Linked DNA regions of Lepisosteus oculatus. The protein of the gene in region 1 interacts with the protein of each later gene in a pairwise test. Links are inferred from orthologs where the notes say so. Each region holds a gene or a part of one and is shown in the gene's direction. Other genes may lie near its edges. The genes, in order: trip10a and abl2.

Region 1 (3,918 bases):
TCAGGTTGGGAGACGACATGCATTCAAAAATTTAAAATCACTTGCCTTTAAGGTGCACATCAGTTCCGCATATGAGCTAAAATTGCTTTTGACAGTGAGTCGAAGAGTGGGGTGTACAGGAAAATGTCTTCACTAAATGCATGAAAGGTTTGCATCTCAGGGCTATTTTGGGCGAATGCACAAACTGTGCAAGTGAACTGAAGAAGTGTTGTTGATAACGAGGGCAGGAGGACATTTGTCTGACCTTCTTGCACAGTAGCGTGTTGGAAGTGTAATTTCCACTTTTTGCCGCAAGATGGAGCTTTCTGCACATCACGCACATCCCAGATTCACAGTGCTTCGTACTTCACAGAACATTAAAGTTTGAATAGTTTACAAATTAGAAAAATTGACGAAAAAACTTTAAAACACACAGAATTATCGCGTATTTACATTCTATGAAGATATTCAGTATATTTCCAGTCACCCTTCTTCTTTGGTTGCTTGTAATTTATTGATCAGAGTGTCTCAGCCGGCAGATTCATAATTGTTTACTCATCATATATAATACCGCCGAGCGGGTTGTTCCAGACACTCACCACCCTCGTTGTAAAGAAGCATTCATCTCGTCTGTATCAAAACACATCAGTTTTCTGATAGCTGTTAGTTTGTAATCTGCTATGTATGTCGTGTCGCCGCCAACCAAATCGGATTTCACACGAGGGATGGCCACCTTGACAAACGCACGACAGGCTCTGTGGATGGTAATTGTTGTTGTGAGTCTTAATTGAATAATGTCCCCTTCATTGTTCCTGTGGATTATTATGATCGCATTTACCTTCTTTCAATCGCGTTTTTAAAGCAGGCTCCAGCTCAGGTTCGTGGTGTCGTATTCCGCGCCACCGCTAGGCGGAGCTGTGGTGAAGCTCCTATCGTACCTCTCCAGGTGGCTCAAACTCAAATCCGTCTTCTACAATCCCGGGAGCTCGACTGTCCCACCTAATCTCTGTGCGCCCAAAGCAGATAAGACGTCTCACACACAAGCACTTCGGTATTTGCTGTTACTCGTGAGGAAACTCACGTTTCCCACCGGAAGCACGGAATCGCTTGAGCCAGCGTATACAATGAAATAAGAGGCTCATCTATCCCTAAATTAAAACGCACAAAAGAGAGTAGAATCGTATATTAACACAATAATACCGAAGTGTTTGTGTGTGAAACGTCTTGTTATTAAACGAAAGGGTACAAAAATAAGGTATAAAGAGTTATTTTTACTCTTTCGTTTAATAATACGACTTTCCTTAATCGTATTTTTGTTCACTGTTATTAAAAGCAGAGTGATAACTTTTTCCAGTTTTTGCGCGTTAATCGAAACACGGCAACAGCGATAGGAAACGGCTCCAGCCCCTGGTCTGTAGCTGATAGGCGCGGCAGCAGAGCGCACCGCCGAGTCAACACGGGGTCGCCTTGCGCCGAGCAGGAATTACTGCCCGGCCCCTTTAAGGATTGAGGATCTGGGAGTGACGCGGATACGAGGGCTGGAACATCCCACCTCGCTTTGCGACTGCGAGACGAGGCGCAAGAGCGAAGGGAAAAAATGTTTGATGTCGCTTAATCAGGGAAGAGTTTATCCATCGATCTCTCGGTTTTGTAGCGCTCATATATCGTCTCTTCGGGATATACTGTGCGGCGGGTCGTGACACTTCTGGACTCCTGCAAACTCCCAGGCGTTGTCGCGATGGACTGGGGCACGGACCTTTGGGTAAGTTTAATCCTCTTGCTATTTTTTACTTTTGTACTGGAGTTGAAATGAGATGCATATTTTTTTTCTTTTCTTTGAAGTTTAACCGCCCCCCCCACCCCAGCACAACACAACACAACACACGCGCAGCTCTTTTGACTAGAAAGGCGGATTTCGTTTTGATTTTTCATGCTCTGCTGGCTAAATTGGCGAGCCTTGTCCAAAAGACTTTTATAAAGTCGTTCAACTGAAAAAAAAACAACAACCTCCAAATCTTTTGTTGTTCTTGTTGGCCCGGATACACCCCATCAAGTTGATGGGAGTTACCTCAATCAATTAAGGTTACCTTAACCTTAAACAGTGTCCGCTTTTGTGTTTGTTAGGGAAGTTTTTTTTGGGTCAGTGGGGTACTTAATTGTAGGCTAGGTTGCTGCTCGTCTCTTCTGTCTTTGGCGCAAAATAGGTCAACATGTTAAAAAGTTAACGTTGGCTCTTAACGTGGTCAGTAAAACGTGCTCTTTATTATAAAGGGTCGGCGTGGGTGCTGCCGTTGCCTGCCCTGCAAACACAAAACAGCTGACCGTGATTTTTTTTTTAATCGTTCAATAAAGCCGATCCTATTTTAGATGGGATCGAATCTGTACGATCATACGCACGCAGAAACTGTAACTGTAGAAGAGAAAAAAAACACACAACCTTTCAGGCCACATATTGAACAGAACACGTATTGCGGCTACCCGGGGCTCGCCTTGTAATTTGCTAGATATTTTTAAATGCGCGGCGAGTCCAAGTCCGCCGCATCCTGCGCGCTGCGTGGATGTGGGCTTGTCGTGATGTAGTAGCCTGCAGGGCAGACGCGTCCCCCGTGACGAGCTGCAGCCCCGATCAGTGGTTACAAACGCGACACAGCGCAGGGTCTTCTTAGACCGTCACCCTCTAATTAAGTCGCACTACCGCTGGGCCGAATAAGTCTCCTCTTGCAAGGCGGCGTGAGTGTCCCGACAGCAGCATGTTTTGTCACTAAGGTCTGTGACATGGTACATTATGTAAAAGTTGTGGGAGTTTTACTTCCGAGCAGTCGTCAGACGTCTTGCTGGGTGAAGTTTTTCGGACGTGTCACGTTTTTTTTTTTACCCCTGCGGGCGGTCTGGGTTTGGCCTGTTAATTGGCCCTCGTTGGGCTCCGTGTTGCGAGGTTAATAAAATTGTCTTTTTCGGCCCGTTTCCGACATCGGATCCCTGTTATTGTTATTATTACTACTACTCCTGCTGTGCCGGAGAGGAAACGGCGACTCCCAGTCATTTCCCTTGTTCGTGCCTTGCGCCGTACGTGATGCCCAACTGCGCGCCCGGCTTCACCCTGGATGTCGCGGTTTCTCGTTTTGTCTCCACGGACTGTTACCTCTCCTCCGAACCACTGGGCTTATTCTCTCGCCTGGCTTCAAGGGTCAGGTCCTAAAAGGCGGCAGTGGCGATTGGGGTCTGAAGTGTCTGGAGAGAGACTGGACCACAGTTCCCACACCAGTGCCCTCAGTATCCTGGCTGGAGACGCTGTGCTGTAGGACGTGAAACCAAAGTCCCGCCAACTTGGTCATTAAAGATCCCAGGGCGCTCTTTGCAAATAAGTAGAGTAAAAGTTAAAAAAAACTGGCTCAAGGACCCCCCCCCCCCATGCCCTGGATAAATTCCAGCACTCTGGGCTTGAATAGTTTGGCCTCTCAAAAGTTCCTGCTTAATGCAGCTGGTGGAACAGTTCCTCACTCGCCTCCCCTGTCAGTCCAGTGAGAGGTAAAGTGCATCACTCCTTCCTCGGGACGCTCTTTGGGTTGGAATGCTCTCTATAATCGCAGGTCATTTTCATCGAAGGGAGCATCAACAGTGCCAATCGGCTGTGAAGGGCTGGTGAAGTTCACACTGGGGCAGCTTGTCGAATATAGAGCAACCTCAACCCGCCAGCACCACTCCCCCCCCCCCCACACACAAACAGGTCAGGGGTCAAAGGAGGTCAAAGGTCGCTATCCCTTCAGTGCAGAGCTGGAGCTGCTGACTGTCCAGCCTGAGGAGATGAGATTTAAGACTTAAGAGAGATGCTCTGAGCTGACTCCGGGGTGCAGGCAGGAGTCTGGAGTCTGGCTCGGCTTCGCCTTGCATCAGGGTGGCCCACCCCTCCATGTCAAAGAACTGTTCGATATTGAATCA
Region 2 (3,918 bases), on another chromosome or scaffold:
CTGTCTAAATGCTGGATTATGCTAGCTTACAAGAGTGCACTATGGGGCAATGTGCAATTAATCAGGTAGGGCTGGATTGCCTGTGCTAATGGTTAGAGACTTTTCACCCAAATAAGTAAGGAGTCAGGCTGTGTCCCTCTACTCACCTGTCTAGGTGCCAAGATGAGAAGCATGTAGTTAATTAGGAACTCCTGGATTTATAAAGGGGAGGCATATTTATAGTTTAATGCAAGTGCACATTTTCCCTATAAAGCACTTAATGTTCCTTAGCTTACTTAAACCCTGTGTAAGTTTGTCTATATAAAGAGCCCTTAAACCTTAAGTTAGCATCCAAAGCTATACTTCTCCCTTTTTCCTGCACGGGAGTCTAGCAAGCAAAACCTTGATCTCCAGCTGTAGAAAGATTAGAGTAGTTTTGCAACAACTTGCAAAAGCATGTTGGAAATTGATTTTATGGCTTCCAATAGAAAATTCACTTTCCTCATTTCCCATCCATCATCTCCTCTGTATATTGTAATTGTGTTTTATCTTGTATTTTTTTTTTTATTTGTCATTCTGTAAAGTGCTTTGAGAAGCCACCTTTAAAGGTGCTATATAAAATACTTTATTTGGGGGGGGAAGTGTTTGGATTTCTATAGGTAACTCAATAGTATTCTGCTCAAATACACTTTTCTGTCTTTGCCATGTCACTTTGTCTCCATGAATCAGTGGTGTCATTTTATAAGGTGTATTAAAAGGCATATTAATATTCCTGTGTTCACAGCTCGTCAATAAATTCTTATACAACTATGGTTAAGTAAAGCATTGCCTTTAGTGTCATGAAACCATAAGCACTCAGAAATAGTTCCTATGTAAAACGGTGAGCATTCATATTTCATCATGGTACTTAAACTATTTTGCCCACTTTGGAGTACGATTCACAGAACCCATTGAATCAATACAAAAACAATTTAAGATTTCTTAGCATCCGGTTACTATCAAACAACGCCCACTTAGGAGTGTGTGTTCTTTTTCCTTTTCCACCTAGCGGCTTGGAGGTCTTGGATTTTCCAGACGGGAGCTGGTGACTGAAGTCCCCCTGCAAAAGTGAACGCTGTTCTGCGGTAAAGATGGCGGCTGCAGAGGGGGCGCGTAGTGGCCGGAGGAAGACGGAGCGTCCCTGAAGGAGCAAGAAAACTGGGGCGAGGGAAACGAACGGCTCCGGGAAATCTGCTGACTGTACCTGGGTTGCTGGGTGAAAGGATTTCTTATATACTTTCGGGGAGGCTGGAAGAAGAGAATAAGGAACAGGCCGCTCCGTTCCTGTGGGATGTGAACCGGGAAGGGGGTGGGTTACGTCCCGTGGAAGAGCGCTACCGAGGTCTGGGGATATGGGACAACAGGTAGGCCGCGTCGGGGAGGGATCCTCGACCGGACCCCAGCAGCCGCAGTCTCAACAGCACCATCTGGTAAGGGCGAGTAGAGGAAGCGGCGTCGGGAGGAGACCACGGGAGACCGCTACCACAGGGACCCCGCCTGGTAGGACTACCGCTGTCAGCACACCGGATCCGGGAATCAATATTTTCACACAGCATTCAGGTAAGGTTATTAGAGGGCGGTAGAAAACGCCTCAGAAATGCATGCGAAAGAATACCTTTGCTGTTATTCAGATGTTTTGTCAAGGCGGTTTTCAGATGTGGTAAGCTATTACTACCCAAACGCCTCAAATCGCTAGTGTTTCTTTGTGAAAAATGTTCAGTCGCGATGCATTAAAAAAAGACTATACAGGCGAGTTAAGTGTTTAGAGAGAGCCACTACAGCAGGTAGTGAGAGAAAATGTCTTTGAAACCAGTTTTCCTACACCGACGTGACAGCCCGGTCTAATTCTAGACGCCAAAGTTGAGTTTTTTAGGCAAGATCTCTTCATGAGGTTTTAAGTATATTGTAATGCATTCCCTTAGCTTATCTTTAAACTAGCTAACCTCTCAGCTGGTCGAATTTAACTGTCATTCCTTTTGCAAATACATATAGATTGCATTAAAACTGAGCCCGTTCTCCATTACATATCAGCTCCCCTAATGGTGTAGACTTCTCAACTGGAAACTGTTCACAATGTCGTGACTGAGGATGTATGCTTCACTAAAGCAATCATCATACGGAGCTTCCTAATTAAATAATACGTCCGAGAATATTTATGAACAATAGACGGATTGAATAAACTGGAACTTTCTGTTAAGGGTCTTTCATCTGTTTGGCTTTAGCTATTTGACTTTGCATTCAGGCGGGGTCACACTAAAAGCAGTAACTCCGAACTGCAGCCATTCTCTCAATGCAAGAAGCGTCACTTGTTTTAATATAGAGCAATCAGTGTTCAGGATTTCCCAGCGCGTACAGTAGTGGAGAGAAAAGCGAGTCACTCCGTCGTTAGAGATTAGGTGCAATGAGTGCCATCGAGCCTGTGTGAATCATCCTAAGTGCATTTAGCGTCTGACGGAAATTGGGCTGAAAACTGTATATTCTGTACTCGATGAAGAGCCTCCTTCATTGCCCAACAGCTGCGCCTCGAAGTGTCAGTTCATTCCCTTTGTCAATACACTGCCGCTTGTTTAATAATGATCTTAAGGGCTGGGATGCAGTGGCTGACTCGTATTGGAAGCCTGCTCAAAAGCCTTCTTCGTTACTCTTGTTTATGCTGTACCAAAGTATAATTTCGTGGGCTTGTAAAGAAAATCTACACCAAGGACATGTTCCCGGCGTTGAAAACATTTGAGACGAGGGCGTGTTTTTTTTCGTCGCTGAGTACTAAAACGTGATCATTGTACTTAGAAAAGCTCTCTGAACAATAAGCCACAGGTGAATCCAATACTTCTTTCTGCACTGCCGAAGTAAAGACACGTCCTTTACAAGTGGTTTTTCCCTTCTGAATGTTTGGCTGACAATTTTTCTCCACGTTTAAGACAGCTGAGCGCACTCCGATTTTGCTCATTGATTTGAGAGACATCCACTTTTAGAGCAGCGAAGGAGACGGCTCCGTTGATGGTTGATCTGACTGAGCAGAACCAGAACAAACATCCCAGTCTGTTCCAAGTGCTTGAGTGCTATCCTTTTGGTAACTGTCATTGTCATTAATTCCTGAATGTAACAACGCTGAGTTAGTCCTTTTTCTTTAACACTCGCAAGAACTTTCATTGCTTGGTGGCCTTTCTTGTCCCAGCCAGCTCCAAGATTTAATGATGATGATAATGGTAATAATAATAATAATGAATAATTGCTTACACTTATATAGCGCTTTTCTGGACACTCCACTCAAAGCGCTTTACAGGTAATGGGGACTCCCCTCCACCACCACCAATGTGCAGCATCCACCTGGAAGATGCGACGGCAGCCACAGTGCACCAGAACGCTCACCACACATCAGCTATCAGTGGGGAGGAGAGCAGAGTAATGAAACCAATTCATAGATGGGGATTATTAGGAGGCCATGATTGGGAGGGCCAATGGGAAATTTGGCCAGGACGCCAGGGTTACACCCCTACACTTTTCGAGAAAAACCCTGGGATTTGTAATGACCACAGAGAGTCAGGACCTCGGTTTTACGTCTCATCCGAAGGACGGCGCCTGTTTACAGTCTAGTGTCCCCGTCACTATACTGGGGCATTAGGGCCCACGTGGACCACAGGGTGAGCACCCCCTGCTACAAGGTGCTAAAAGTGTTTAAAGTGCTGCTACAATGTAGTTGTGAATGTAAGTTAAAAGGACTGTTAAAACATCTGAAAAACACTCGAGCTCAGGGTTCAGAATGTGGACATACTCAGGAGAATATTAGAATGTTCTCTCTCATATGGCAGTGGTCGCTGTGCGAGGCGTTGACTGTCACAGAAAAGAAAGATTTTTCACCAAACACAAGCATAACATTTCTGGGTAAATACTGCATAGACA

What was found.
Region 2: the proteins of trip10a (region 1) and abl2 interact in binary tests that used the Homo sapiens proteins (3 or more experiments, as listed by UniProt). The link is inferred for Lepisosteus oculatus from reciprocal best matches to the Homo sapiens genes TRIP10 and ABL2.

The regions. Positions count from the first base shown.
Region 1 is NC_090706.1:15,204,960-15,208,877, reverse strand, and holds the start of trip10a (cdc42-interacting protein 4 homolog), read left to right. Parts: upstream 1-1,404; 5' UTR 1,405-1,717; coding exon 1,718-1,741; intron 1,742-3,918. UniProt on the Homo sapiens protein: Required for translocation of GLUT4 to the plasma membrane in response to insulin signaling. Required to coordinate membrane tubulation with reorganization of the actin cytoskeleton during endocytosis.
Region 2 is NC_090704.1:29,004,886-29,008,803, forward strand, and holds the start of abl2 (tyrosine-protein kinase ABL2), read left to right. Parts: upstream 1-1,067; 5' UTR 1,068-1,370; coding exon 1,371-1,578; intron 1,579-3,918. UniProt on the Homo sapiens protein: Non-receptor tyrosine-protein kinase that plays an ABL1-overlapping role in key processes linked to cell growth and survival such as cytoskeleton remodeling in response to extracellular stimuli, cell motility and adhesion and receptor endocytosis.